Coturnix japonica: one gene and its partners. Each later gene encodes a partner of the first gene's protein in a complex. Links are inferred from orthologs where the notes say so. Each region holds a gene or a part of one and is shown on either strand. Other genes may lie near its edges.

Region 1 (7,306 bases):
GCATAGCAAACAGCACGCAAAGTAATTAAAGTGAATGCTTTAAGATCTGGAAAGCAAGTGAGAAACCTGAAGCATTTTCATTCTGCTTCAGAACAACTCCTACATAAGCAGCCTACCTTGTACCACCACTAACCTAAGCAATAGCTGCATTAAGATCCCTCAGACAGATCACCCAGCACCACAGCAAGCACAAACCAAGGCAAGAAACTGGACATTTAAATCTTATTTAAGCCTATTGATGTCCATACCTGTTTATGGAGATTGTGGATGGGTTTTTGGTGGAGATTCCCTTCTCATTGCCTGTATTTGCTAACAGATCCCTCTCTGTACATAGGAGGATGCTTTGGTTTCAAAGAGGTTTAGTGAGGATCAAGGCCTAAAAAGACTCCAACAGATTCACCTAGGTTTCCTGTTATCTACCTCTGCTGCCCTTCATGGCAATTGAGAATGTGAATATATTCAAGAAGCCAGGATTTAAGAAACGAAACACACATTTTTGTGTCATTTAACATGAAACTTCAAATCATCAAACACCTTCTAAACTTCCTTTAGAAGCAACACCAGGAAATTCCTCATTTCCTGCCTGGAACATTCTGCTAGTTAAGCCACTAAACTTACCTCAAGAACCTTATTAAGGCAACTTAACCCCCAGGAGACATAAGTATGAGCAGAGGATATCATTCCTCCTCCTCAATTGATTCCTAATTTGTCTGCCTTGCTCTGGTTGTAGTTTCAAGCACTGACATCTAGTGGTGAAGCCAACACAAGGATTTATCTGCTCCGGTTTCACTGCTATTTTCCCCATCACCTTCAGCTCCAATAGATGTCTATAGTGGAACTTTGCATTTCCAACCATTGCCACAAATATCCTCTACATACAGACCCATTCAAACACCACACAGATTATCATGTCCACCAGAAGCAGCCTAAGTTTGGGCTGTATCTACTCTATTTCCATTAAAGCCCTTCATCAGTTTGCAACATGATATACATTCACTGTGGCGAGGTCTCACTTGCAACTAGGACGTATTCAGATCAATGCTTCCCTTTTCCATCTATTAAGAAGCGTGTCGTTTTCCTCTGCTCCCATTCCTGCTGCCATTTAGTTACACACACATCATATTCTGAACTAAGCATTTCAGGTCATTCTAACAGCATAGAAACGCATTAGATGTTGGGGTCAAGTGCAATTTGAGACACGTTTGGGCTTCTTTCAGTCCATTCCTCATATAAAGTTGGAAGAATTGATGCATTATGCTGCAATTTGGGTCACTGAAAGAACACCAGAAGAACAAGTTGTTCTGGGGATGAGAGTGCAAAATGCTTACACTGAATGTAAACTGAATGTACTATTTGCAACCAATGCAAAGGTTCCCACCTCACACAGCACACACACAGCTTCCAATTCCTCTCTTTTTAAGCTAAAAACAGACATTCCATTTGACTCCTCCATGTTTCCCTTCCAGCATCCTATAGATCCTAAGAGCAACAAGTAGCAATGAAAGCAACTTGCATGACTAAAGGTGACACAAAGCACCGGGATTATAGGATTAAACCGCGATTATTCGATAATCCCTAAAGATAAATTAAATACAAACAGATCACACGTTTAACCAAACGCCCTCATTCTCAGCAGGGCTGAGGGAAAATCGCATCCCTGTTGCAAGCTGAGCTGGGAGAGAAACACAAGGGCAAATGTTCATACACACACATAGAAATGATGAGGAGATAAAGGTTAACCAACAGCAAAGGCCCATCTGTATAAGGGAGGGAAGGAGGGAGTAGGCCCAGAGCGCCTCAGGCCTACAGGGCCCACACCTCAGAGGCCTACAGGGCTCAGGCCTGCAGGGCCCACCTCAGGCCTGCAGGGCCCACACCGCAGAGGCCTACGGGGCCCACCTGAGGCCTACACAGCCAACCTCAGAGGCCTGCGGGGCCCACACCGCAGAGGCCTATAGGGCCCACCTCGGGCCTACGGGGCCCGCACCTCAGAGGCCTACGGGGCCCACCTCGGGCCTACAGGGCCCACCCCGCAGAGGCCTACATACAGGGCCCACACCACAGAGGCCTACAGGGCCCAACCTCAGAGGCCTACAGGGCTCAGGCCTACACGGCCCACCTCAGGCCTACACGGCCCGCCCAGCCCCGCCCGCCACAGCGAGGAGCCGCGGCCTAGTGCAAGACCGCACGCAGGGCAGACGGCAGCACCCCTTGACGAGGAGGGCCGTCCGGCCGCCGCTCCCCGCCTCCGCCGTAAAATGAACGGGGACTCACCGCCTTTCTCCTCCACCCAATCAATCACTCCATCACCCCGACGGCGCGTTTCTGCCCGGCCCCAACATGGCGCCACGCGGAGTGTCTGTGAACACCCGTTAGACTTCACTCCCTCACTCAACATGGCCGCCGCCGCAAGCCCCGATTCCCGCCGAGTTGGGGGGGGGGGGAGCCCAAAACCAAGATGGCCGCCCCAACTTCACTCTTAGACAGCCAAAAACAAAGATGGCGGCTCCCGCTGGCGTGAGGCTCGCGCGGCGTCACGTGACAAGGGGGGTGTGGGCCGCGTCCCGGCGGAAGCGTGAGGGACCGAGCGGGGAGTCGGGCTGGCGGCGGAACAGACGGGCCGTAGGGCGGGCGATACGGCCGGCACCACGGAGCCCGCCGGCACCAACACGGCGGCCAACGCCGCTTCACGAACCGGGGGAGCCGGGGAACAAGCAGCATCGCTGCCCCCGCCCCCTCCGAGGATGCCGCGCAGGAAGGTGAGTGAGGCCGGGGAGGGAGCGGCAGGGTCAGGACGTGGCTTTCTATCTTTCCCCTCCTTTCTATTTAACTGTTATGGGGAGAAAATAGGGGGGAAATAGCGGCCTGCAGCACCCCCACATCTGCGCCCGCCCCCCTCGCTCGCTTATTGGCTGTTGCAGAGACCCGCGCAGCGCTGATTGGCCGCCCCGCTCGTCACTCATCGCCCCCAACGGTTCCCCTTTTCCTCCCCCTCCGCCTGCAGCGCGTCCCTCCTCTCGGTTTCTCCCATTGGGCAAACGGTTAAAGAGTCGGCCGCCTATTGGCTGGGTTGTCACACTGGGCTGGCCGCTGATTGGCTACCACGGTTGTCCATCACCTCTCAACGGTCACCTCCCCGCGCGTGCCTCGTTCCTCCCCTCCCCCACCCCACTCCTCTCCGGTGGGGGTTGAGCAAACCTCTCCCTGATTGGCTACCACCAGCTGTCACTCACACCCTACCGGCATGCTCCTTCTCTCATTGGCGAGCTCACCTTTCCGGTCCCACCCACTCGCTTTATGATTGGCCGAGACTATAGAGCGCAAAACAAAGCGGCCTAAGGGCGGTGTGCGCGCTCAGTGGCCGCCACTCGCTCCTCACAGGCCCGGAGCCTGAAGGCCGCTGTCGTTATACAGGCCTCGTTTGCGGCCTAAGCTGAACACAGGCCTCTGGGCCTAAACCGAACACAGGCCTCTGGGCCTAAGCTGAACACAGGCCTCGGGTCTAAGCTGAACACAGCTTCGTTGCCTACCGTGCTCCCTCCTGTTGTTTTCCAGGCCCAGGTTTGCTCTGTGTGGTGTACAACTGACTCATCCCCTGCTAGGCCCCGTCTATTCCCCCCCATTACCCCTCTGGGCCTTCAGGGTGATGATTATTAATGACACAAAAGGGTTTATATCTGCCATGAAACGCTTGGCATTTATATATTGAACACATCACAGTGTCAACTCAATGTTATCTATCATATGCTTTCTATATGGGTTTATAACATGGCACATCACAGCATACACTCAATGTTATCATATGCTTTCTGTATGGGTTTTTAATGTGGCACATCACAGCATACACTCAATATCTATCATATGCTTTCTGTATGGGTTTATAAGGTGGCACATCACAGCATACACTCAATGTTATCATATGCTTTCTGTATGGGTTTATAACGTGGTATATCACAGCATACACTCAATGTTATCCATCATATGCTTTCTGTATGGGTTTTTAATGTGGTATATAAGCACATCCCTGCTGATATCCTTGTCTATGGTGTCGTAGAGGAACGCGGGCAGCAGCTCAGATGGAACAGAAGACTCGGATTTCTCCACGGATCCGGAGCACACGGACAGCTCTGAAAGCGACGCCACGTCACGACGGTCCGCCCGTGTCACCCGCTCCTCAGCCAGGCTCAGCCAGAGCTCCCAAGGTAAAGCACCTCATAACACATCAAGCAGGAGGATTTAACCTTGGTAGTTATATTGGTAAGCAAAAGAGGGAGGTAATCATATATGTCAAGATGTGCTTTCAAGGCTTGTTTTGCTTGCCTTTACGCCCAGTTTAAAAGAAGAAGCCTATGTCCACCTCCTGATTTTTAGCTTTACAATATCAATTCCTTGATCTCTTGGTTATTAAGCTGCCTCAAGGGGAGAAAATGGCAGTAGATAAGTTTGTTCCTTCTGTGTTGTTTTGTGATGGGTTTTCTTGTAGGTAAAAAACCTACTTGCATGCCTCAAAAACAAGAAGAAAAGTGGGTTGGGTTGGTATGTGGGATGCCTGTAATGCTGCTAGGGTATGAAAGCATTGTTTTCATGCAGAATAAACTGTTTTATAACCTTATGAGCAGTGTGTCTATATAAAACCATACGTGGTGTCCCAAATGTGTCTCTATACCAGGAGCAGCTTTGATATTCTCAAGAGTTTTCTAAATGCTGATAGCTGTAATCTAAGTTAATCGCTACTACTTTCTAAATGGGAACTGTTTGTAATTCCTAATCCATTAAGTTATTATCTCAGAGAAAGTGGATGTAATACCAGATCCATGTGTGTTTGTAAAAGTGAATTAGAAGAATATAAACGTATCTCCGTGATGATGTGCAATGGTTGCACAGAATCCTGTGCTGATACCCTATCAGATGTCGGTGTTACAGACATCAGAGCTCATGTGTTGCAGCTCACGGGCATTCATTGCTTCTTGTGGGTGTAATTATGGTGTTTCTATGACATTAGATTCCAGCCCAGTTCGCAATCCGCCCTCATTTGGAGCAGAAGAACCAGTCTATTCCACGAGGAGAGTGACCCGCAGCCAGCAGCAGCCTGCTCCTGTGACTCCAAAGAAATACCCACTCCGACAGACCCGCTCGTCTGGATCAGAAACAGAACAAGTGGTTGACTTCTCTGACAGAGGTACGTAGACACAGTGAGGTGTCGAGAGCTTGTAAAATGCCATTGGAAAGGATATGTGGCTCCATTCTCTGGGCACAGTGTGATATCCTCAGGTTAGAGGGTTTGAGACAGCTATCCAGAGTTGCTTTACATATATATATATATATTTGAAAGCTTTCTTTCTGGCAAATTTGTAACATCTTGATCCTTGTTCAGACACTAAAAATGCAGCGGATCACGATGAGTCTCCACCTCGTACCCCCACCGGGAATGCCCCTTCCTCAGAGTCTGATATTGATATCTCCAGTCCAAATGTATCCCATGATGAGAGCATTGCCAAGGACATGTCCATGAAGGATTCTGGAAGTGACCTGTCTCACCGCCCTAAGCGCCGCCGCTTCCATGAAAGCTACAATTTCAACATGAAATGTCCCACTCCTGGTTGTAACTCTTTAGGTAATTTCAGTTCCAGGATTGATTTGTTGACTTTTTTTGCCTTCCTGTGGTGATATTAAGCCCCCCCCTCCGTTGATTTATACAACGTAACGATAGGGAGCTGCTTAGAATCAGAAACAGTACTGAGAATTGGGTATAGAGAAGAGTTACGGAGCATATCCACAGCTCTATCTTTATTGTCTAGAGGTGTTTGGGGGACGATGGGATAAAGAGCAAGTTAGGAGAGTAAGCACAGGTGTGGGAGGAGAATGCAGAGCCTTGTAGGTGAGGGTATTGATCTCAGCCAAAAGCAGGTTCTCAGCAACAGATGAATGCAGTCATCTAATGTACCTGACTGCCTGCATGGAGCGCAGCTTTTGAGTTAATGTGAAAGGGATTTTCCTTCTTTGTTCTTATAGCTTGTGCCACGAAGCATGAAATGTTTTCCTCCTACCACACTGTTAACAAATTGAGTTATTCTCTTGAGAAGCTCGTATGCAGTATCTGACCATCTGGGCTGCATTTAATGATCATATGCTGAAAGCTTTCTCTTTTTCCTGATCCTTTACAGGACACCTAACTGGAAAACACGAGCGACACTTCTCCATATCAGGATGCCCACTGTATCACAACCTGTCAGCAGATGAGTGCAAGGTAATGAAGTCTTCTGTTTTATCTCCCTTATGCTTTTATAGGGCGGAGTGCCAAGACTTGTTGTTTGTGCATAGGAAATAGTGTGATCCAGCTGATATCCTTAGCTATAAGACAGCAGCATTTGTCAAATAATTTATGTTACACCTAAACAGACAAAGGGACAAGATGGAAGCTGTGACAGTAGTTTGCTGCAGTGTTGATGGTGGAGTTTTGACTTCCAGGTGCGAGCACAAAGCCGGGATAAACAGATTGAGGAGAGAATGCTGGCCCATCGGCAGGATGACAACAACAGGCACGCCACCAGGCACCAGGTGGGCAGTCTTCATGTAGTGGAGTGGCTGCTCTGTTAAGAGTAGGAAAAAACTCAGCTTAGGTTTCTAGTGACAGTGACTTTAACTCGATCTCCCTTCTTTACCACTTAGTTAAGCTATCGTGTTAAGTCCTGTGGCTCTCTTTTGCAATCTCAAATTTGTTTCAGCAAGGAAAATTCATTTTCTCCTTCGGTAAGAGCCTGGAGCAGCTGGTGAGAGCCAAGAGGAGGCTTTGAGCAGTAGTATTACAGAAGAGGCTGGAGTTGTTCTCACAATGGTCTTTTCCGTGTGCTTTCAGCTTTTCAGCTGAATTTCTGCAGACCCATATGCCACCATTCTACTCTGCATAGTTCCATCAGGGGAATTATGTTTCTCAATTCAAATGAGTCCTGATTGAGAGTCAGGGTGAGCTGATGAGTCAGCAGTGAGCTTTTCCACGTGATTAAGCAGTGCATAAGGATTGCACCCTGTCTTGTGGGACTGAGGTGTGTTGACAAAGGCAAGCTACATAAAGGAGAAAAAATTGTGTTATACCTTAAGTGATTTTTTATGCATGCAGGATTCGGTTTGGAGGCAACAAATGTGATAAAAAATAGAAGGCAGCACAGAGCTCCTTCAGGGTGAAAAGATGTAGGTGAATATTTGAAGTGCATGAAGCCTAATGAAGCTTTCTGACTCTGTTTCTTTTTCAGGCACCAACAGAGAGACAGCTTCGATACAAAGAGAAAGTAGCTGAGCTCAGGAAGAA
Region 2 (6,758 bases), on another chromosome or scaffold:
CTTGCCAGAGGCAGTTGTTTTCCTCATAAAGAAATTTCAGTTTGATGTTTTCTTCCATCCAGAACAAAAAAAAAAAGAGAATGTAGTAAAATATGAAGCAGCGAGCAGTGTGCTGTATATTTACAGCTAGGAGATGGAGGGGGAAAAAAGCCTTTCTGTCCTGTACACCTGAGTGTTCCCAGACTGTCCCCAGGTGGCAGTGAGGCCCCAGGCTGCTCACTGTGCCCATGTGTGGGTTCACAGCTTGGCTAACCCCACCAAAACCAGTCATGTCCTGGGGAACCACTGCATGGCTGCAGCCATGGTGACAGAGCTGGGCTGCCCCAGTCATGCTGCACACAGTGGCACTGAGCCGTGACACCAGGCTGGCAATGGAGCTGTCTGCAGCTGCATGCCCATGAGAAGCAGCTGTGATACCATTGGTTTGCATGAGAGCTGCAGGAAATGGGGGATGCATCTTGCCCCATGATGGATGTGCTGCTGGTGGGAGCTTGTCCTGGGGGGCTGGGGATGGGGAAGGAAGCGTTAGGGAAAAGCTTATTTCTTGTCCTCAGTGGCTTGCACTTAGAGCTTCCCTCTCAGTAAAATGTCGTGAGCTGTAGTACAAAACGAAGTGAGACTGCAGGTACCTGTGGGGCAAACACGAATCAGTGTGTGGAGGGGAAGGTGCTGGCCAGCTGTGGGTCAGGACAGCCACATCTGCACGTGGCTACTGGCGCAGTCTGATGTCAGCTGTGTGTTCTGCTCTGTTTGTACACCGTCAGCACCCACTGCAGGGCAGTGGGCAGTTCTGCATGGCTCATGCAGGCAGCACAGCTGGGGCCTGGCTCTGCCCTCCTTGCTCACCTCCATGCTGGATGCAAAAGGAGAACTGATGGATAAGAGTGGAAATAGTTCTCCAATAGCCCCACAACTTCTGATGCGAGTCCCTGTGTCGAGTGTGAAGTGCTCCATGATAGGAGGGGATGCCCCAGCCCCCAGCTGCATTACAGTACTGCTCCCATGGCGTCCCAACCTCTGAGACCTACATAATGCTTTAGAAACATTAACTGCATCATTAGGCCTGTGAGCAATTAATGGGAGATTACAACAGTTTGCGCATCCACACTGTTGCTGCGTGGTTTCTGGTAAGGTACCTGGGGTTCTCTTAGCTCTGTTCCCTTTTGGTGAGTATTGCTCTCTTTATGCATTAATGTTCTTCAGCAGAACAGATTGAAGGATGCGCTGCAGGTTAACCCTGACTGCTCAGGGCAGTGCCCTGGCCACGTTTTCCTGCCCAAGAGCTGTGTTAGAAAGTATGGGTGCAGAAGTGTGAATCCTGCTTGTGAGTTCTGCCTGTGAAGGAGAGGTTACAGACTAAGCTGGGTGTTTGTGTTCAGCCTGGGTGAGGATGAGAGGATGGACAGCCAGGCACAGAGCTGTCCCCAGGAAGCAAAACAGTGATGCAGCTTGGGGACTCATTTCCAGCCCTGCTAAACCAGACACTGTTTCTTGTGTTTCTTTAGGTTAGAAATCTCTGTTACATGGTGACGAGGCGGGAGAAAATGAAACACACCATTTGCAAACTCCAGGAGCAGATCTTCCACCTGCAGATGATACTCATTGAGAAAGATCTTTACCCAGGTCAGTACCACTTGCAGGATCTGCTCAGTGCCCTCTGAACCTTAGTACCCCAGCAGAGGAAGGCAGAGCCTCCCCTGCCCTGCTGGCTGCTTCCAGCTCAGTTCCTATGTTGACTCATCAAACATTGACAGCTTTGTTCTGAAGTGTGCAGTGATGCCTTACCATGGAGGACCGAGGTGCCAGCAGTCCTTGCTGTCACACATCTCTCCTGATCCTCACTCAGATGACCACTGTTAGGTGCTGGTGCTAAAACAGAATCCCAGGGTTCACGTGAAGGTGCTACTGCAGTAGCACTTGATTCCATTCCTCGCTTTGAAAGCAAGTCCTGAGCACGGGGCTGTGCTCCTCAGCACTGCCTGGCCCTGTGAAGCAGCTCTGGGGTCTGTTTGGTTCCCTCTGGTTGTGTCAGAAGTGAAGCTGTGGATGGGATGACTTCTACTTCCTTCAGCTCTGTGGCCTGTAGTTCTTCCTGCTCCGTTATACTGGCTAGTGGGAATGACACACGTACTTCCTGCAAAACCTCTGGCACCTCTTTGTTAAGGAGCTGAAATAAAGTTGTTTTCCTTCTGTCTTTTTTTTTCCTCTTTTAAACAAGCATTGCCCAAACCCACAGCCCTGCATCCCTCCTTCTTTCTTCCAGTGGCAGCACAGGACCAGGCTCTGTGGCTGCAGAACACTTTTTCCAGAAGCAGCATCTGGAGCTTTGGCAAACGCATCCGACTCTTGTTGTGTTTGTGGCTTTGGAGTTGCATTTGAAGCCATCACATGTTTGGGGTTTCTTCAGGAACTGTCTGGGCTGAGCTTTCCTTTACAAAGGTTTCCTTTGACTGAAGTTTTGGAGGCTGAGACGTGTGTGTGTGTGTTGAGACGTGTGGGGCTTGGATCCTGTGCAGATTGCCCTGCATGGCTGGGGCTGGGCAGCACAGGGCCCAGGGTGTGCAATGGGGATGTGGGCTGATGGCAGGGGCAGGTTGCTGCTCCCCTGGTTAGCAGGTTTCACTGTAAGGGCTGTTTCAGGAGCACAGCCTGCTGTCACGTCGGCTCTTTGGGGAAGCTGGCTGAACCCATTTCTTCAGCTTGGTCCTTTTCCAGGAAGGCTTTTGGCAGGGTGGGAACTCGCCTTCTAGCATAGGACCATATGGAACTGGAGCACCAGAGCGTGGGGTGAGAGCTCCCAGTGGCATTAGGTGTGCACTGGGGGGAACTGGAGCACCTGTGAGTGTTTGGCCTGCCTGGAGGACTGTAGTTGTGGGGTGATTGATACAGCAGATAGGTATGCAGGCTTTGTAATTGCGTCTTGATGCAAGTGCTATTCCTATGTAGCCCCAAACACTTTGCATTTGCCTATGAGCTTTGTGCTCATATGCTTGTCTGAGCCAAGCTGCTGTTCATCTGCTGGGTGGCCTCCGTGGTGCTCTTTCCATGAGTCAAAGAGCACTTTGGTGTTTTATTTTCTGTTGACAGCACAGCTCCCCGCTGTGGGGTAGCACATCCCATCCCTCAGGCCATCCTTCCTTCAACCCTACACGCTGCTCCCATCCTCAGTGCCCTCATCCTACACGATTCTGTCAGCACCCATGTGTTTTGCTGGCTCTCCTCGCTTCAGGTGCCTTAGAGCTAAAGGTCCTCAGCAGCTCACAGGACCAAACCTATGGATACCATGCTGCTGTGTTCTGCATCGTTAGTGGTTGGAAAGTGATTTAGTGGCTGAGTGAGTTGCAGTCAATGGGGAATGGTCCCTGTAGCAATCCTCAGTGCTGCTCCTGACTGGATTGCTCTGCACGCCTGCAGTTCCTCAGAGAAAGAAGAAAATCTGCACTGTTTTGCATGGACAAAGCTGGTTTTTATCTGCTTTCATTATAGCTGTAACCAAAGTCTGTTGGGGTTATCCCAGAGATGGTTTAAGCTCAGGTTAGTTTTGGAATGGCTCCTCTATGAAGCGCCATTCTTGAGGGGTTTATTTTTCTCACTGATAAATGGTGATTTCAGCAGGAGGTTTTTAATAAAATCAGTGAGAACTGCCCATGTAAGATGAGCCCATCTCTCTCTCCCTTATTTTTATTGCATGAAGCAGAAAGAAAGCTCTGCCTGGCTTTGAAACATGGCTGCTATTTTGACAGGTCCCTCTTCACAAAGTAACGTTCACGTTTTTCTTTAGATCCGTTGTGCTGTCCAAACAAAGTTATGTTTTTATTTTGCAAGCAAAGTGAAAAATGTGTCTGTTTCTCCTGTTATTTGGCAGGAATGCAACAAATACCTGTTTTGCTTTTCTTTCTTGTGGTGAGCCCTGTGCTTGTGCGGGGTTCTGGCAGCTCTGGGACTGTTAACTCCCCTGTGCATGCAGGTGCTGTGCAGATGCCCTCCTCTGCTTGCCCGATATGTTTCCAGCCCAGCTGGAAGAAGAGGAGCCCTTCTCTGTGCTGCCCCCATCCAACACAGTAAATCTGATGTACTTGCATCAGCAACAGTTTCCAGTTCTTAACATTGTTGCTTTGGTAGCTGCATGGCTTTTGCAGGTCTGAGCTGCTGGTCGGGCTGACAACCTCCATCAGCTCACCTCCATCAGCTGCCCAGATGCTGGTGTAAGAGCAATGTCCTTCCCCCTTCAAAAATCAAACTGGATGCTTTAGCACAGACTTCTCTGGGCCTGAGAGAGTAACTAAAAACCTTTGGAGTATTGCACTTGGCAATACACGTTGTACTTTTATGGGGTATGTGTTTGTCCTGTTTACCCAAGAGGAATAAATCCAGTAGAAATTCGAAACCATTTAGGAAACATTGATTTTTAGCTGAACAGCTGCATAGCTTGCAGTTACATTCCTGCCTTTCCATAGGTGACGTTGCTCATCTTTCCTCCTCTGTTTAGCCATGTTCGATACACCGGTTTTATAGCTTTGTTTTTTTCCACCACTGTCTGTAATGAGTTTAAACAGTTACCACAGCTGAAAGGTAAAATCACACCAAGGTCTGCTGAAAAACACTGCCAATGCTATGCACTTTGCAGCTCAGTTCCTTCTGCAGCTGTGTCCACAGCCCGCCTGGGGTGTGCACAGGCAGTTTCTACGATGTGCCAGCAGGTTTGGAGGGTCTCTGGTCTCCTGGAGGGCTTTGGAATGGTCTGGGTGCATTGCTGTTCTTCTGGAGGGTTTCTGAATGGAGTTTGAGGTTATTTCTCATCTCCCAGTGGGTTTTACAGCAGGCTTTGGGCTTGTTCCTGGTCTCTGTGACGTTTCCAGAGCAGAGTTTGGGGGGTGTCCCCTCTGCTTCTCCCTGCAGTCCCCAGAACCCCATTCCAGGAGGGTGCCTTGGTGGCTGCACAATTTCTAGCAAGTTCTCTGCCTTTGGTGGCTCTGCTCTTGTGGCCGTGCCACAGCCCAAACCTCTTTTATGTAGCCTACAGGATTCACGTTTCCTTTACCTATAGAGACGTGAGCCTACTTTTGGCCAAGAAGTGGCACAGCCTTCGTCCCTGCAGGGTGTGCCCTGTGGAGCTGGCTCACCCTGGTGCCTTGTCTCACACAGAGTTTTCCTTTTTCTCTAAAAAATGCCAGAACAAACTGGGAAGAAGACAAAGGGTAAGAAAAGTGATCCAAGAAGGAAAGGAAGAGATGGTAGAAAAAATAGCCCTGAGAAGAAAGAAAAAAGGAAATCAGTCAACGAAACTGTGTTGGGACAACTGGGTAAGTCTGATTTTATGGGCACAGAGCTTCTGGTGGGCTGGCAGCTCTCTGGAGGCTCCTGCTTTTGGGGAGCAGCGTTGAGGAGTGCGGTGCAGCCCCCAGCCCATCCCATGTGGGATCAGCCCCAGCATGCCATGGCCACAGTGCTGCAGCAGAGACCTCACCCTGCTGGGTCCAGGCTATTAAACAGCCTTGGGGTTGCACAGCATGCAAGAAAAACTGCAATTGCACCCAGTGATAAAATCAGACTTACCCACTTCAAAGCAGGGCGGATCCTGTACATCTTCTGTGCCATTTTGCTTGCATGTACCTTCAGCACCATCAAGGCTGTTCCAGCGGATGCTTATCCCACATCCTGCTCTGCTTCATCAGCTTCAACCCCACCAGCAGAGCAGGGGGAGTTTTCAGGGCAAACTCTGTCCTATTGAATGGGTCCTACAGGGTTGTGGAAAGAAACTGCCCTTCAGTCAGTCTGGAAAACCAGGCAGCAGAGAAGAGGAGCGAGGTCTTAAAGCTTCACCAGGGTCTTGCAGTGTGCTGGATTTTACAAAGAGCTTGAGGCATTGCTCGGGGCTGCTGTGATGGCAGAAAGGCAGCACTGGGTCATGCACCACTGTGGAGGGGATGTGTTTGCCATGCTGTGAGTCAGCACCACTGCTCCATCTCTGCACTGCTCCTTTGACAGGCGAGCACCCACAGCAAAAGTCAGATCTCATCTTTTCCCCCAGCCCTGAAGGAAGCTGTGATGTCGGACTGATGGGTTTCTGTTGTAGGGATTGAAGTTGGTTGTGTGCCTTTAGCATTGCTTCTCGGTCTGCTGCTTCAGCACGTCCCAGCCCATCATGCTCACTCTTGCTCTCAGACAGAATTATTAGGATGCTTTTCAGCTTTTTCCATTCCAGCCTGTCATCTCTGCTGCCGCTCTTTGATTCTCATGCTTCCAAGTGCTCAGAGAGAGCTCCCCGACCCTCCTCCCATCTCACCCAAGGCATACTGCATTAGGGTTCACTGCCTGTTCAGGAGTGTGCTGGGAGCTGTGTTAGTGCAGTGCTGTGGGCAGTGCAGCAGCAGCTGGGGGGGGGTCAGGCAGGACACGTTCCCTGGGCAGGACTGTGCAGCAGCTCCTTGGGAGGGAATGCTGAGCCCTCCTTGTCCTGCTGCCCCTACACTGTACTGTGGGCCCAGGCTGTGTTTCAGTGCTGCAGGAAGATCCTCTGCTCGGATCTGTATGTGGTGTGACCCCAATTCACCATTCATTGCTACAGCAAACCCCCCCTTCTGGCTCCCCACATGGCACACTGCGCTTTGCCGTTCTGAGTTTATCCCGTGTCAGGGAGTTTTGCTGAGCACTGTGTGTTCTCAGTCAACGGGAAGAGCTGCTTCTGGTTCCTGAGCCAGTCCTCCACTTTTGTTTTCCCAGGCTTGTCGACTTCCTTCCCCATCGACGGGACCTTC
Region 3 (7,503 bases), on another chromosome or scaffold:
AAGTGAGCCCAGCCTGCAGGCTGACCCTGAAGGCTGATGTTATGATGCATTGCTCTCTGTCAGCCTTGCATTGTTGGGCCCAAGTTGTGGGAATTCACTTTGGAAGGAAATAAATAAATCTAGATATACACGTACCATGTTACAGTCTGTGTTTTTCATGTGTTTTCTGTCTTCTTCCTCAGGAACGAGACGATCATCCTCACAGAGGAAATGAAGAGAGAAAGCAGAGACACACGTCAGAGCAAGAACACAGACGAGATAGAAGCGGTGACAGAGACAGGCACAGAGATCACTCAGACAGGAGGAAAAAGGAGGAAAGACCTGGAGGTCGAGGCCATGAGAGAGAAAGAGATGTTCAGAACATCCGTGAGCAACAAGCAGAGAGGGAGTTCTATAACGAAAGAAGACGAGAGCATCGACAGAACAACGAGGGGAGCGGTGCTGAGCAGAATCCAGAACACAAACAATCTGATAACAAACCAAAAGATAAAGCTGTAAACAAAGAAAAACCAAGCTTTGAACTGTCTGGTGCCCTTCTGGAGGATACCAACACTTTCCGAGGCGTTGTGATTAAATACAGTGAGCCCCCAGAAGCTCGGATTCCAAAGAAACGATGGCGTCTCTATCCATTTAAAAACGATGAGTTCCTGCCTGTCATGTACATTCATAGGCAGAGTGCTTATCTCCTGGGCAGGCACCGCAGGATAGCAGATATCCCCATTGATCATCCCTCCTGCTCAAAGCAACACGCTGTGTTCCAATACCGGTCAGTATCGCTCTGTATCCCTCTGGTAGGTGGGGATTATTTGGTCGCTTGCGTGCAAAGGGAATCAAAGAACGTATTGGATGTGCACAGATTAGAAAATGCATGTTTGCTCAATGGTTTTAGATAGGTGGAATTTAGGTATGGATGTAACATATATGTAATTCCTTTTTGTTTAACCATAAGCAGCCTCGTGACTCTTAACATATATATAATTCCTTTTGGTTTAACCATATCTAGACTTTTAGTAAGAAACACAACACAACAGGATGAAATACAGAACTGCCTGTATATCTGAATTGGAGTTATTAGCAGGTGGGATTGGCAATAAAGAACGTTTAAAGGAGGGTTTTTCATTTGTTCCTTCCCAACAAAGGCTGCCGATCTCCTTTATAAACAGCAGGGTTGTGTGCTTCAGGAGGCAGAGCTGCTCTCTTAAGGAACAACCATCTGTTCTGCTTCAGGATTTACTATGTTATATGATCATAACTTTAAGGGGTGAAGCAGTCTGTCAGAATCTTGAGTATTTCCGTGCCCTGTCTAATTATTCTCATTGTACTTGCTCAGATCTTTGAAGTATGGTTAAGTATTTACAACAGTGGGGCTGATGTGTTGAAAAATCCATGTGTTATCATTGACTTGATGGGTTGTTTTTGTTTTCTAGGCTTGTGGAGCACACACGCGCTGATGGCACAGTTGGCCGCAGGGTAAAGCCGTATATCATTGATCTTGGTTCTGGCAATGGTACTTTTCTAAACAACCAGAGGATTGAGCCTCAACGTTACTACGAACTGAAAGAAAAGGATGTATTGAAGTTTGGCTTCAGCAGCAGGGAGTACGTCCTTCTCCATGAATCATCTGATAAATCAGAGGCCAACGCAAAGGACGATGATGAGGAAGAGGAGAAGGAGGAAGAGTCCGATAGTTAACAGACATGAAGGCAATTGGGGATGGGGGAGCAGGGGAGAGGAATCTTTTACAATAAAACATGCATTGGGATGGAGATGTTGGAGCATCAAAGCACTGGTGCTTCTTATTGCCTTAAAGTCCTTCTGTTGCTGACTGGTTCTTATGGTTTATTGTGGGGGACTCCACTGAATATTTGGCTTTGGTAGGTCTGTATAGTGGGAAATCTGACTTATTTCACCCCCCTGACAAGCAAAAGAGCAGCTGGATGTGAATGATCTGATGCTGGAAACATGTTCAAAGATGGTTTTCTGCTGGATAAAGAAACGATGTAGAACACAGCAAAGTGTATTTAAGAATATTTTTATCCACTGTTTTTTGTCATAAGCCTTTGAAAACGCTACTGAACTGAGGTGTTAGTTTCAAATGTAACCCCATGCATTGTTTGTAATGTCTTGTTTTGTAGAGTTTGCCAAATTCTAGAGTTCTAGAAGGGAGAATGACCAGGTTTGCTACTAAAAGAGGGATATTGCAAAGGTTTTATGTGTCCTGGGTGGTTGCTCTGCACTGTGAGCAATGGGCATTTGACCACAATGAGCTGCCTGTCGATTCCAAGGTAAGTGAGAAGAAAAGGAAACACAACCTGAGGCTTTTAGGTTGCAACGATGTGGTTTGGGAGGGCTGAGGTCCACATCAATGCACGCTATACATTGCAGCACCCAAACTATGGCTGACTGTCATGTATCTCCTAAACCTCAGCCCTTTGTTTCTATCAGCTCCATGAGTAACTTAATGTTTTTTGTTTGTAATTGTACTCGTTACGTGGTGGCATGTTTTTATTACCCGGTTTGCACTATTTAAGTTTTTCTTTATATATATATATATATATATAAAAAGAACTGAAGCTCTCGTTGCTTTCTAACATTCTCCCCCACAGGAAAAGCTTTAGGAAGAGGAAATTAAAAACCCCAATGACTGGAAACAAACACATCTCACCTCTTTGTGGCTGTCTGTTCCCTATGGTTTCCATGTTGATGCTTAACACACTGTTGCCTGTTTGTTCTATGGCCACACACACAACCTGTATACACACACTGGAGCATTGATGGTGTAAATACGGGGTGTTGATATAGGTTTTCATATAGAAAGCAGGATAGATCTTGGCTTGAAGGATCACCTTTATATATATACACAATCTCAAGGTTTTTAAATAAAGAATTTGTAATTCTATTTAATTGTAATGTTTCTTTCCTATATCCCTATTTCCCCCCCATGCACTGCACAGGGAAGCACTGAGCCCTGCTTTTGAGCTGCTGAGTGAGCAGAAGGGTTCAACCTTATATTCGAGGTTTGCCTTGTTGTTTATTGCACAGACCCAAATCCTGGATGCTTTTAGGGCTCCCCATCACCCCCCTCCCATGTCCCTATTAAGCCCGACCCTATAGCGGCTGCGGGGCGGAGCAGGGGGGCGGAGCGCTGTTCAGTGCTGCCCCCTAGCGGCCATTCCCCGCAGCCCCGCCCGCTCCCCGCAGGCCGCAGCCGCCATGGCCGCCCTGCACGCTAAGTCCGGCGGACCCCCGCAAATCCCGGACACCCGAAGGGAGCTGGCCGAGCTGGTGAAACGCAAACAGGAGCTGGCGGTGAGCAGGGAGCGATGGGGACGGGGGGGATAAAGTGGGAAGGCGGTGAGGCTTGTGGTTGTGGTTGTGGCCTTAAGGTAAGGCCAGGCCCGCTTCTATGCATCGCGCTGTGTGTGCCCGGTAGGAGACGCTGGCCAACCTGGAAAGGCAGATTTATGCTTTCGAAGGGAGTTACCTGGAGGACACGCAGATGTACGGCAACATCATCCGCGGCTGGGACCGTTATCTCACCAACCAGAAGTGAGTGTGGACCCCAAACCCGCCCTCCCATCCATCCCAACCCCCCACCCCCCCTTTCCATGACCCCCAAACCCCCCTCCCATACATTCCAACCCCCCCCTTCCCATGGACCCCCAAATCCCCCTCTCCATCCATCCAACCCTCCCCGGCTTCCATACCCCCAAACCCCCTTCCCATTCTCCCAACCCCTCCCCTTCCCATGGACCCTCCAAAACCCCCTCCCCATCATCCCAACCCCTCCCCTTCCATGACCCCCAGAACCCCCCCTTCCATGACCCCAAACCCCGCCTTCCCATCCATCCCAGCCCCCCCCTTTCCATGGACCCTCAGCCCCGCCTCTCTCCCATCCATCCCAACCCGCCCCCCTTCCTTCCATGGGACCCCCAAACCCCCCTCCCCATCCATCCAACCCCCCCCCCCCCTTCCATGGGCCGCCTCCATCCTCTTTTCTCCTTTGCAGGAACTCCAACAGCAAAAACGACCGCAGGAACCGCAAGTTTAAAGAGGCCGAGAGGCTCTTCAGCAAATCCTCAGTCACTTCTGCTGCGGTAAGAGCTGCCCCCAGCCCCCAACCCCATGGGACCAAGCTGCTGTGGGTATCTGTTAAGCCATGAGTGCATCCCTGTTGTCATTAACACCCATTTCATCCTTCCAGGCTGTCAGTGCGTTAGCTGGAGTCCAGGATCAGCTCATTGAGAAGCGTAAGTCACCTCTTCACTTGGCAGAATTAGGAAGAATTGAGCTTCTCCCCACAGCTCGGCCCCATCTCTGCTTTGTTGGGCTCTCTGCTGTCCACTTTGGATGGAGAAACCAGGATTGAAGTGATGCCTTTAGATGTCTTGTGTCTCTCCATCAGCTGCACGTGGCTATGGGAGGAGATAAGAGCTTCACTACTGGAGGCTGCAGCCTGTTGTGGGCATCCAGCTTTAAGACCTTTCCTTCTGCTGTCACCATGGCTTTGGGTCTGACAGCAGGGCTGCATTTCCAGTCCTTGGCACCAGAAATTTGGGTGTCTGTAGTTCTTGTAGCCCTTTTTTCCCCCCCATACTTTGCAGGAGCAGCCCTGGGATGTGAACAGTGAGGTGATAATCATTGGGCTCTTCTGCTTCTCGTCCCATTCCAGGTGAGCCGGGCAGTGGGACTGAAAGCGACACATCTCCAGACTTCCATAATCAGGAGAACGAACCCAGCCAGGAGGATGCTGAGGAGTTGGATGGATCAGTGCAAGGGGTGAAACCCCAAAAAGCAGCTTCTTCCACTTCTGGAAGCCATCACAGCAGCCACAAAAAAAGGAAGAATAAAAACAGGCACAGGTTAGTGGCACCGACAGCCTTCTAGTAGTGCAATGGGAACGGTTGGCTCTTGCTGATGATGTGAAGGGAGCTAGTAACTCGTCAGGTCGTTTGGTTCTATCACTTGCTTTGAAGCTGCCTGTGCTCCTGCTGCTCTCCTTGTGTCAGGGAGGGAGGCAGCTCAGCAGGCATATTCAGCACAGGGTACTCACAGCTCAGGTGTTTCTGACCAGGCTTTGTGGGTTCTTTTCTCTTTTCAAGCAGAATAAAGCTGTCTTCCCTGCAGTAGAGGAAGATGACAGCCCCGGCTTCCTGTGGTTGTTCTTTGGTTTCTACTGAGCTAAGGGAGATAGGAATGTCAGTGCTTTCTTTGGAGGAGGAGGATGGAAAACAGCTTAGAGTGTTCTGGGGGCTGCCGACACTCACTATCTTTACTACATTTTCTACTCCAAAGCTTTCCTGTTATCGTGTCCCAGAGTCCTTTGATTATAGCACGTACAAGTTGCTCTATCACACAGACCACAAGCTCTTGTTATTAAACTGGCCTGAAATTCACATGAAACAGATTTCCTGAGCTCTTTGTGATTGAATTTAGGTGACCACTTCAACCCTTTAAGGCGCACCTTCAAGGCAAGATGCAGCACAGTGGGCTGACAGCTCACATTGGGATTCATTGAATTCCAGTGCTGCTTTCCCTGGATGTCAGGTTCTTATTGAGCTCATTGGCTTTGGGTATGGATGGATATTCCTCTTTGAGGAGCCTTCCTATACAAATGGTTTATAATACAGTGATAGATCCCACAGGGACTGCTGGGAAAAGGTCTGTCTGGGAGACACCAAGGTAGGTGTAGTGCCTGAAAGCCAATTAATTACGACTTATTAGTTAGATTTTCAGCCATTAGCATTTTTAATTGGAAGGTCAGGGTTTTCTCCCCACAGCAGCCTTATTCAGGCACACATCCCAAAGTATTGGATGTCCTTTTGGGTTCCTCCTGAGCAAGGAACCAGCAACAGTTCAGAAGTGGTTTTTAGCCCTCAGGCAGTTGGGAGGAAGGCCAGGAGTAACAGAGCACGTCTCTAAACCACTTCAGAGAAACAATCTGTACGACTGAAGTACAGCATAAGAATGCTGCTGTTTCAAACAGAATCCAAAGCACTGCTGGGCACTTACATGGACCACAAAGCAATCTGCTGCAGGTACAGTGGGGTCTGCTGCAAATGCCATAAATAATATAAACTCTTTTGCTCCGTTACATCACCCAAACTGTAGTGACGGGTGTTAGGAAGAAACTGCCCTACTGAAAGCTTGTGTTGCTTTGGGGTTTCTTCTGCATTCCTTCCTGTGAAGCAGCTACTATTGGAGACACAATATTGGACATGAGGAGCCCTGGTCTGATCTGGTATGACAATTCTTATCATCCTAAGAGATGCATCTAAAGAACCCAAAGGATTTTGCAGTAATGCTTAGCATGGCCAGGTAGTGGAAAGTGATTAAATGTGTTTGTAATGCAAACTGTTAGAAGTTGTGATCGCTGCTAACGACTGCCCCCTAAATTACAGCAGAAGAGCCTGAGTGATCTTCAAGTATATCCAGGTTTAAACCAAACAAAAGCCAGTCCCAGCTTTGTTAATGGCACAGCTCATTCAGAAGCTCTTTCATTTCCAGCCTATGTTTGAATTCTGCTCACCTGAAGGACTGGGAGCTGCTGGGAATGGATGCTCTGAAGGTGCATTGACTTCCACCAGTGGCAGCGAGGAGAGGTGGATTCAAATTGAGCAGAGCTGGTGTGAACAGCTGGGTTAATTTCTGACTATTCAAACAGGGGATCACATGGCAGTGCTTTATTGAAGCCATCCTCTCTTCCCTCAGACCATAGAAGGCCCAGATGGTGATTTTCTATGCGTTCAGCAATTATTCTCAGGGCTAAAAAGTGTTTTAGGGGAAAACAGTCCTTCCTCATAGGGATCCGGTGCTGAGAAGCACCAAATAGAGCAGTGAGGGTTGGGGTAAAGTGCCACCAGTGTGAGAGCTGAGATGTGGGGTGGGAATGCAATGAGCCACAATTGGACTCAGCCATGGCACCATTCCGAGCTCCCAAAGGGATGTGGGTGGAAGGCTGTGTGTTGTGTGAGTATTGGGAACATTGAGTGCGTACGTGGCCACGTGGCTTCATGGTTGTGTCCACCTCTGCCTGAACAAGCTTTGCTTTGCTTAATAATCCAGACAAAGCCACTGCTTTCTGACCACCCGTTGAGGTTTTGCGAGCAAATCCGTTTCCTGATCTCCCTCTGAGCTCAGCACACAGCATTCCCTGCATAACACCGCTCCTAACACCTCCCCATCCTTGAGATCCACCTGGGAATGGGACAATATCCACCCTGCAGTGCTTTTTCTTATGCCCCATTCTGGTTAAAGACACTTTGCAGAACTTCATGGCGTTTGAACACCGGCTTTTATTTCTTCATTGACTTTGTTTTTAGCGTTCTCGCTTAGGGTGGCTAATGGACTAATTGATTTAATTCCTTAGTGTATTAATTTCTATTGCTTTCTTCCTTTCAAATGCTGCCCCTCAGCCCGTCTGGCATGTTTGATTATGACTTTGAGTAAGTTTGACTTGAATTAGTACTTGTGCTGTGTTGTTAGTGTGTAGACACCGATGTG
Region 4 (7,204 bases), on another chromosome or scaffold:
CGTCTCTTGCAAGTAGCTGTCAGTGCTCGCTCTCATTTCAAGGGCATGATATCGAGGCTTCATCAACAGCGTCTGACCTGCCAATGAATCAAGTCTTAAGCGGTGGGTTTGAAAGAAAGGAGTAATGCCAAGCTTTGGTGTCGGCACGTTTCTTTTCTTATCAGGGATAAGTACAGCTGCTCCCATGGAGGATTACGTGTTCAGGATGGGAATGTTGCATAGACTTGGAGGTAAGGGGTACAAATGAAGGGATATGAACCTTCTTCCTCCCCCCCACCTCCTCCCACTCTCTTCCCCAGCTGCTCCTTCACAGTGCTCTGACCTGTTGGCCGTCTGCTTCACTGCTCAGTGATCAGAGATAGCAGGTTTCATAGAAAACAGTGCATTTTCCATTGAAATCCGCTGCAGTACTTCTAGTTATTTCAATTATAGATACTTCTTTCATTGCTCGAGTCCACGTTAAACTTTGAGTGACCCAACTTCTCAGCTGTTAAACATTACTTCAGTGTAACTTTCTTAATACGTAATATACTGTGCGCAGCCTTTGTGGAGCTGCGCAGCGATTTGGTTCAACGTGAGCATGGTATAGATGTGTACATCACTTCATCCTGACCATAGCTCTTATATTTCTAGCTTCCACTGCATTCCTCCCCAGGGAGGACTTTAAGGTGCTGTGCTATATTTGATCAACGTGTTAACATCTGGCTTTGCGAATCCCTCCTATTCTCTAGGTGGGTACCAGCATCTGTAGTTCATCCTTGCTCAGGAAAGAGTGGGAACTGTTGCATGTGTATTTGCAAAGAGCAGCAGTGTACAATCTGCTTCCTATTTATTCGTCTCGCTACATCTTCCCATAGAACATAGAAATGTCGAGTTTTAAAATCCAAATGGATATATTGCTACATGAAAATGGTTTCCTTTCAGTCTGACTCAACCAGGTTTGAAATTCCCTTTATGACCAGGAATTGGTCTTCTCCTTTTATACACAGACTCGATTTTATCGTTCTGAGTTCTCTTCATTCTGGACTTCAAATCTCTTTGTCTCACTGCTGTTGCCTGCCCTACCGCCAAGGCCTCTGAGGTTAATAGAAGCTCCCACAAGCGTATGTGTGGGGAAGGTTCTATGATTCTATGAGGTTGTGCCTGGTGTTCTGCTTGACACTGTGCTTTACCCAATCTGCTCTCAGTGTTTTCCTGGCAAGTGTGTATCGATGAACAGAAAGCAAACCAGGCGATCACCGGTGCGTGAAGGAAGTCGCATGTATCAGCATCACCGCTGCTGTCTAACTGCATTAGTAGAAAGTTACGTTTTGCATTACACGCAGCAATAGTAAAGACAAGACTTTTCTTTTGCAGCAGGTACAATTGAGGTGTTGGGCTGGAGGGACCACCCTGTGGCCAGAGCTGCTGTGTCTTCAATGCCGCGAGCTGTCTCATGTCACTGCTTGGCTGCACCTGGCCTCGTGTGCATGCAGCAGCCTTCCCGTGCCTCCAGAAGCAGCGGGGCCGTGGGGAGGCTGCGGACAAGCCTGCGGTAAGGGGGTGAGCAATAAGGGGGTGAGCGATAAGGGGGTGAGAGGTCTCCCACTGCCCCTGACGCAAGGGGTACGTGGAGCAGGAGCACGGGGGCTGCGCTTGGGCACGAAGCCGAGTAACAGAGGAGGTTTGCTGTACATTAACGGAGGAGGTTTGCTGTATATTAACGGAGGAGGTTTGCTGCATATTGTTGCTTCCTTCGTTCTGAACGATGCCGCCCATTTCTGTTCCATGCGGTTCCAGCAGGGAGCTCCGCTGCGGGTCGGACGCTGAGGTGCCGGTTCAGCACAGCCCTAAGGTCGGCTCGGGGATTCTGGAGGAGCCTCGTGGAACTCCGGCCGAACGCTCTAAATTTAGCGCCCTCAGCAGCGGCTGGAAAGCGGCCGGGCCCGGGGCCGGCCCTGCGGCGGGTGAGTCAGCGGCGGGGCGCGGGGGGCCGAGCCGAGGGGCGGCCGAGCGGCCAAAGCCCACCCCGCGTCGCTCCGCCCCGGGGGGAGGGGGCCGCATCCCGCGGCCGGCAGGAAGGGCCCGGCGCGGGCAAAGGGAGGGAAGGGGAAGAGGCGGAGCCTGCCGCCCGGCGGTGTCAGCAGTACAATAGGGCTCTTGTGCGGCCGGAGGAGGGGTGGGGGCGGGCGCGGGCCTGGCCGCGGCGCGCCGAGCAGCCGGCACGCAGGGCGGGAGCCGCCGCCGGCCACGGGCCCGGGCGGGGGCGATGCGCGCCGGCGCGGGACGGCAGCAGCAGGAGCAGCAGCAGCAGCGGGAGCGGCAGCGACACCGGCGGCAGCCGCCGCGGAGGGAGCGTCGGCGCCAGCCCTGACGGCCACGGCCGCCCACGCCGGCGAGCTGAGAGGCGGCGGCGCTCCGGGCCGGGCCGGGCCGTGCCTCGCCGGCGGCGGGAGGTGAGCGCGGTCGGGCGGCCCGCGGGGAGGCGGGGCGGGGGTTGGGCCGCCGGGGCCGCCGCGCCGGGGCCTGTGCGCGGGGGGAGGCGCCGGCGGGGCCTGCGGCGGGCGGGAGGAGACGCTTGGCGCCAAGGCCGGAGAGGAGGAGGAGGAGGAGAAAGGAGCGGGCGGCGCGTCCCGCCGCGGTGCGGGCCCGGTACGTGGGGCGGCGCGGTACCCGGCCCGGCCGCCCGCCATCCCGCCATCCCCACGCGGGTTCGGCCGCATCCGGAGGGAAAAGTTGCGGCGGCGGCTCGGGCCGGGCGTGGCGGGGCGCGGGGGCCCGGGCTCGGCGCCCTTTTGTTCGGGGCGGGAGGCGGGCGGTTGGGCGTCCTGCCGGTGCCGAGTGGCTCCTGTCGGCACGGCGAGGAACTTGCTAGAAGTCAGTTTGACAATAAAGCACTGGCGCGACGCCTCCGCCGGGCGGCCCGAGAGCCGCGCTCCAAGGTGAGCGGCGGGCACACGGAGCGGGCGGGGCTACTGCCTCACAGCGGGCATGGCACGGCATATGAGCTCCGCAGGTAACGCGGGGCGGGGGGTGCTGGGTGTGGGCTGTCCTGAAAGGCATCCCTATGGCACACATTGGTGCTAACCCTTTTTTTCATTCTTTTTCAACTACTTTTACTAATTGTTATTATTTGTAAGAGTTGAGGTGTCATTGACAAATGGCTGCGTGTTTTAATTAAGATATCTCTACATTAGCGCTGTACGTGAAAGCTGTGGTTTTGCATATAGAAGAAGATGCAGGAGGTAACATCCGATCTGGATTAGAAACACTCTGATTAAAGTACACCGGTGACTTGAAAGCTCTAGTGCCTCTGTTGACATAAAAGAGCCTTTCCACTAAAACTAATGGGTGAAGGGAGCAGCCTCTTACGTCCCATTGGTGTTTGTCGCAGGCCGCTCTGCAGAGCATCACCAATACATGCACCTGCTGGGTGTGTGTGTCCCAGCCCTGGTTGGAGGCACTGGGGAGTGGGCTTGGGGAGGGAGGCTGCAGTGAGGCTGTTTGGGGCTGACTTTGCAGCTACCACAGAGTTCCCCGGTGGGATAAGAGAAGAGCATTCGTTTACCGTAAGGAAAAAACACAACTTTTTGGTCTCTTGCTAAGAAAGCACCTTTCCCGTTCAAACCAAGCTGCTGCTTTGAGGATGTGAAGCGTTGGCTGTTGGTTTTTTTTTCTTTAACTGAACTTCTGACCTCTTTCCAAACTAGATGTGACATGCTCTGCTCTTAATGCCAAAGAGGAGCAGAACAAAGCTCCTTTCCAAGAAGGCTGCCTTTGTATGTGGCAAAAGGCATCACCATAATTGCAGCTTCTTTTACCTGTCCTTCATTTGATGTTTCCTTCCCTGCTTTCCTTGTACAGGACTGGCTGCGCTCTCTTTCCCCCAGCAGCCGATTTCCCCCTGGGTTGGGTCAGGCAGCCCAGCAGTCTTTGGCTTCACGTGTTTCATGTACGTGTAGCAGGTATAGATTTTGTCTGTCCACCTGACCTTTGGTGTGAACATGAGTGTGCAAGGCTGTAGTGAGAGCTGCTGCATAGCTAGGGCTTTACTTTACTCACCATACACCAAAACAGAACTAATCAGAGCTTGCTGCTCTGTTGTGCAGGTTTAAGCTTTCCCAGCTCCCTCAGACCACTGCACACCCTTGGCTGCAGCTCCCCCAGACCTGTGGAATGTGTGGAGGGGGAAGCAGCTCCTGTTCCACTTTGTGGCATCTCTTTGTTTTGTGAAGATTTGAAGCGCTTGTAACACTCAAGGCTTCGTGTAATTGGAGACGTAAATGCAATTTTGAGATGCTTTACTTAAAATAGAAACTAATGAGTTAATAATAGCTCTTAGCAGGGGTATTTGTGTCACGAAAGCCAACAGATGCTGGTTGTGTCTTGAGAGGCTGCCGGGTGCATTAAACGTTGTGCTGGGGCTGGGTGCTGGTCAGGGCAGAGTGGGGGAGTATTAAGGTCTGCAGGGCCTGGTGTGGTGTGGGACACAGCCTCCTGCCTCACCAGGGTGAATGTTCCTGGTATCCAGCCTAAAACTTCTTTACAAAAAGGGCTGTTAAGCACTGGAATAAGCTTCCCAGGGAGGTGGTTGAGTCACCGTCCCTGGATGTGTTTAAAAACCCTTTACATGTGGTGCTCAGGGACATGATTTAGCAGAGGGTTGTTAGTTAGGGTAGCATGGTTAGGCTGCAGTTGGACTTGATGATCGTTAAGGTCTTTTCCAACCTGTGCTGTTCTATGGTTCTGTGATTATGGATGGGGCACTGGGACCTTCACTCCTTGAACCACATTTAACACTCCAGAGCATTTGTGTTCCTTACGCTTGTTGCTGCCTTACACTGTAGAGTGAAATGATTTGCTTATTGAACTGCAAGTTGAATGTAACGTATCATGTTGTTAATGCCTCGGTGTGTTTTAATTAGAGCTGGAGGGAGATGTTAAAAAACAGGTTTATACACATGCCTGACTGGTTGCTGAAACAAATAGGCCTGTCACACCATCTGGAGGGAGTCGTGTGTTATTTAGCTGTTCTACTGTCCAGGCCTCTTTCACTTGTTTTGTTTTCTTTCTTTCTTTCTTTCTTTCCCTTTTCTTCCTGTGTTTCCCCTTTCTGTAAATGCTACCTAAGGATGCTGTGTGGAGCTGCTGCACCTGCTGGAAGCTGCTGCTATGCTGAGGCTGCCATTGCTGTCCCACCTGCAGCATGCTCAGGTCGATGGCAGGGGCAGTGTGCTGCCCACCAACCCCCCAGTGTGTGACCATGCCATGGGTGGGAGTTGTGGTCGCAGTTAGTTGGCATTATCACAGAGTCACAGAATGACCCGGGTTGGAAGGGACCTCAAGGATCATGTAGTTCCAACCCCCCTGCCTGGCAGGGCCACCAAACATACACATTATGTCACAGAGTGTGCACTGTGTGGTGCACAAGACTGGCGGGCAGCTGCCATTTTGTGGTATGGGGCCTGGGGCTGGCACCATGAGGCCTGCATGGGGCCCAGCCTGTGAGCCACGCTGCTTCTGCCTGCGCTTCAACATGTCGTGCTGCGAGATCAAAGTGCTTCTCCTAGGTGAAGTGCACAATCACAGAATCACAGAATTGTAGGGGTTGGAAGGGACCTAGAAGATCATCGAGTCCAACCCCCCTAGCCAAAGCAGGCTCCCTACACCACGTCACCAGGTAGGCGTCCAGGCGGGTCTTGAATATCTCCAGAGAAGGAGACTCCACCACCTCCCTGGGCAGCCTGTTCCAGTGCTCCGTCACCCTCACTGTAAAGAAGCTGCTCGCACATTTCTACGAAGAACTTCTATGCTGTACTTTCATCCCATATTACCCCTAGTCCTGTCCCCACGCACTACTGAAAAACAGACCAGCCTCACCACTATGGCTTCCACAACCTCAGTATGTATAAAACTGGATCCAATCCTTCTCAGCCTTCTTTTCTCAAGGCCAAACAGACCCAGTTCCCTAAGTCTCCCCCCATGGGGGAGATGCTCCAGGCCTTTCACCATCTTAGTGGCCCTCCGCTGGACTCTTTCCAAGAGATCCCTGTCTTTTTTGTACTGGGGAGCCCAGAACTGGATGTGTCTGCTAGGAGTCTGAGAGAAAAGCTTTGTGTTTGTTTGGCTTTTCGTTAACGTGAAGACATTGCTGTTAGATTGACACAGCTGTTGGGTTGACAGAGGGATGTGGGTGTTTGCGAGCACTTGAAAATTGTAACTATACACAGAGCTTTCCTTCCTGCTGCTTTGAGCAGCAGTAGATTGATATTTAAATCTTCTCTTGTATCGTGTACAGCGTAATAAATGGGCAGTGTTTTCTTTCTACCTCAGTACAGAAAGCCCTGGGTTTGGGGCTGCTGTGTACAAAATGTATAGAAGCGTGCGTTCTGACAAGGGAGGAAAGAAATGTCCCTAGTGGGATTACTTGTGGTTTTTAATTCTCTTCATTGTTCTGCTTTTAACTGCTTGCATTTCTTTAATACCCTTTGTGCGCTGATTTACAGGCTTTGGTGTCGGAGCAGCTGTAGTGGAGTCACCGCTGAAGTAGTGCCACATTCCAAGCAGGTTTGGGCTGTAGTGGAGAAAGGCTCATGCAGCTAAAACGTGCTGTGTGTGTATGGAAGAGCAGGAGCAAGCGGTCAGTGCGGTGGCAGTGGGGTGAGATGGATCTCTGCAGAAGGGCATGGGGTGTCCCTCGCTTCTGTTAGCAAGGCAGGGTTTGCTTTCCTGCAGAGGGAAGAGAGCAGCAGAATTGTGCTCCTGTGCCTCCCTTGATGCAAATGGGCTCTTTTTTTGCTGCAGCTAATGGACTGAAGTGAAGTAGTGATAACAGGTGATGATTCGCAGTGAAAGGTAAACCTTGTTAAGCATTGTTTGATAGGAAGGAGAAGAAATGCTTGTTTGTAGCGCGGAAAATAGGTTTTTGTGTTTTCCAAGGCCGCCGACTGGTGATGTGACAGGGGAAGGATGGCTGGTCATCAGCACCGCTGCGCTGCGATAGCCCTAACCTTGTTTGGGGGAGTTCCAGCAACTCTCCCACATCGGCTTAATTCAAGAGCGGTTGTGTTCCTTTGAAAGAATCAAATTGACTGTCATTTAAGCAACTGAAAGGCAGATACTTAAACCCGATAATGAAGTTGCAGTCTTCCCTATGTTAACAACATAATCAATTCCAGCGTAGCATGAAATGAGCAATCTTAAGAAGTAAGTGAAGCATTTTGCC

The links.
Region 2: KAT7 (region 1) and JADE2 share a complex: the UniProt entries of both Homo sapiens proteins name them as parts of the HBO1 complex. The link is inferred for Coturnix japonica from reciprocal best matches to the Homo sapiens genes KAT7 and JADE2.
Region 3: KAT7 (region 1) and MEAF6 share a complex: the UniProt entries of both Homo sapiens proteins name them as parts of the HBO1 complex. The link is inferred for Coturnix japonica from reciprocal best matches to the Homo sapiens genes KAT7 and MEAF6.
Region 4: KAT7 (region 1) and JADE3 share a complex: the UniProt entries of both Homo sapiens proteins name them as parts of the HBO1 complex. The link is inferred for Coturnix japonica from reciprocal best matches to the Homo sapiens genes KAT7 and JADE3.

What each region holds. Positions count from the first base shown.
Region 1 is NC_029542.1:2,706,623-2,713,928, reverse strand, and holds the start of KAT7 (histone acetyltransferase KAT7), read left to right. Parts: upstream 1-2,532; 5' UTR 2,533-2,744; coding exon 2,745-2,759; intron 2,760-4,054; coding exon 4,055-4,202; intron 4,203-5,002; coding exon 5,003-5,179; intron 5,180-5,374; coding exon 5,375-5,614; intron 5,615-6,164; coding exon 6,165-6,247; intron 6,248-6,468; coding exon 6,469-6,558; intron 6,559-7,250; coding exon 7,251-7,306. UniProt on the Homo sapiens protein: Catalytic subunit of histone acetyltransferase HBO1 complexes, which specifically mediate acetylation of histone H3 at 'Lys-14' (H3K14ac), thereby regulating various processes, such as gene transcription, protein ubiquitination, immune regulation, stem cell pluripotent and self-renewal maintenance and embryonic development.
Region 2 is NC_029528.1:2,389,878-2,396,635, forward strand, and holds part of JADE2 (E3 ubiquitin-protein ligase Jade-2), read left to right. Parts: intron 1-1,505; coding exon 1,506-1,623; intron 1,624-1,754; coding exon of another isoform or gene 1,755-1,765; exon of another isoform or gene 1,766-2,194; intron 2,195-5,174; coding exon 5,175-5,303; intron 5,304-6,723; coding exon 6,724-6,758. UniProt on the Homo sapiens protein: Scaffold subunit of some HBO1 complexes, which have a histone H4 acetyltransferase activity. Acts as an E3 ubiquitin-protein ligase mediating the ubiquitination and subsequent proteasomal degradation of target protein histone demethylase KDM1A.
Region 3 is NC_029538.1:3,340,847-3,348,349, forward strand, and holds the start of MEAF6 (chromatin modification-related protein MEAF6), read left to right. Parts: upstream 1-3,163; 5' UTR 3,164-3,213; coding exon 3,214-3,309; intron 3,310-3,433; coding exon 3,434-3,549; intron 3,550-4,009; coding exon 4,010-4,097; intron 4,098-4,204; coding exon 4,205-4,250; intron 4,251-4,672; coding exon 4,673-4,862; intron 4,863-5,105; coding exon of another isoform or gene 5,106-5,130; exon of another isoform or gene 5,131-5,848; intron 5,849-7,415; coding exon 7,416-7,445; intron 7,446-7,503. Other genes in the region: SNIP1 (smad nuclear-interacting protein 1), read left to right, coding at 183-766, 1,428-1,692.
Region 4 is NC_029516.1:117,321,794-117,328,997, reverse strand, and holds the start of JADE3 (protein Jade-3), read left to right. Parts: upstream 1-2,303; 5' UTR 2,304-2,435; intron 2,436-2,578; exon of another isoform or gene 2,579-2,631; intron 2,632-7,204. UniProt on the Homo sapiens protein: Scaffold subunit of some HBO1 complexes, which have a histone H4 acetyltransferase activity.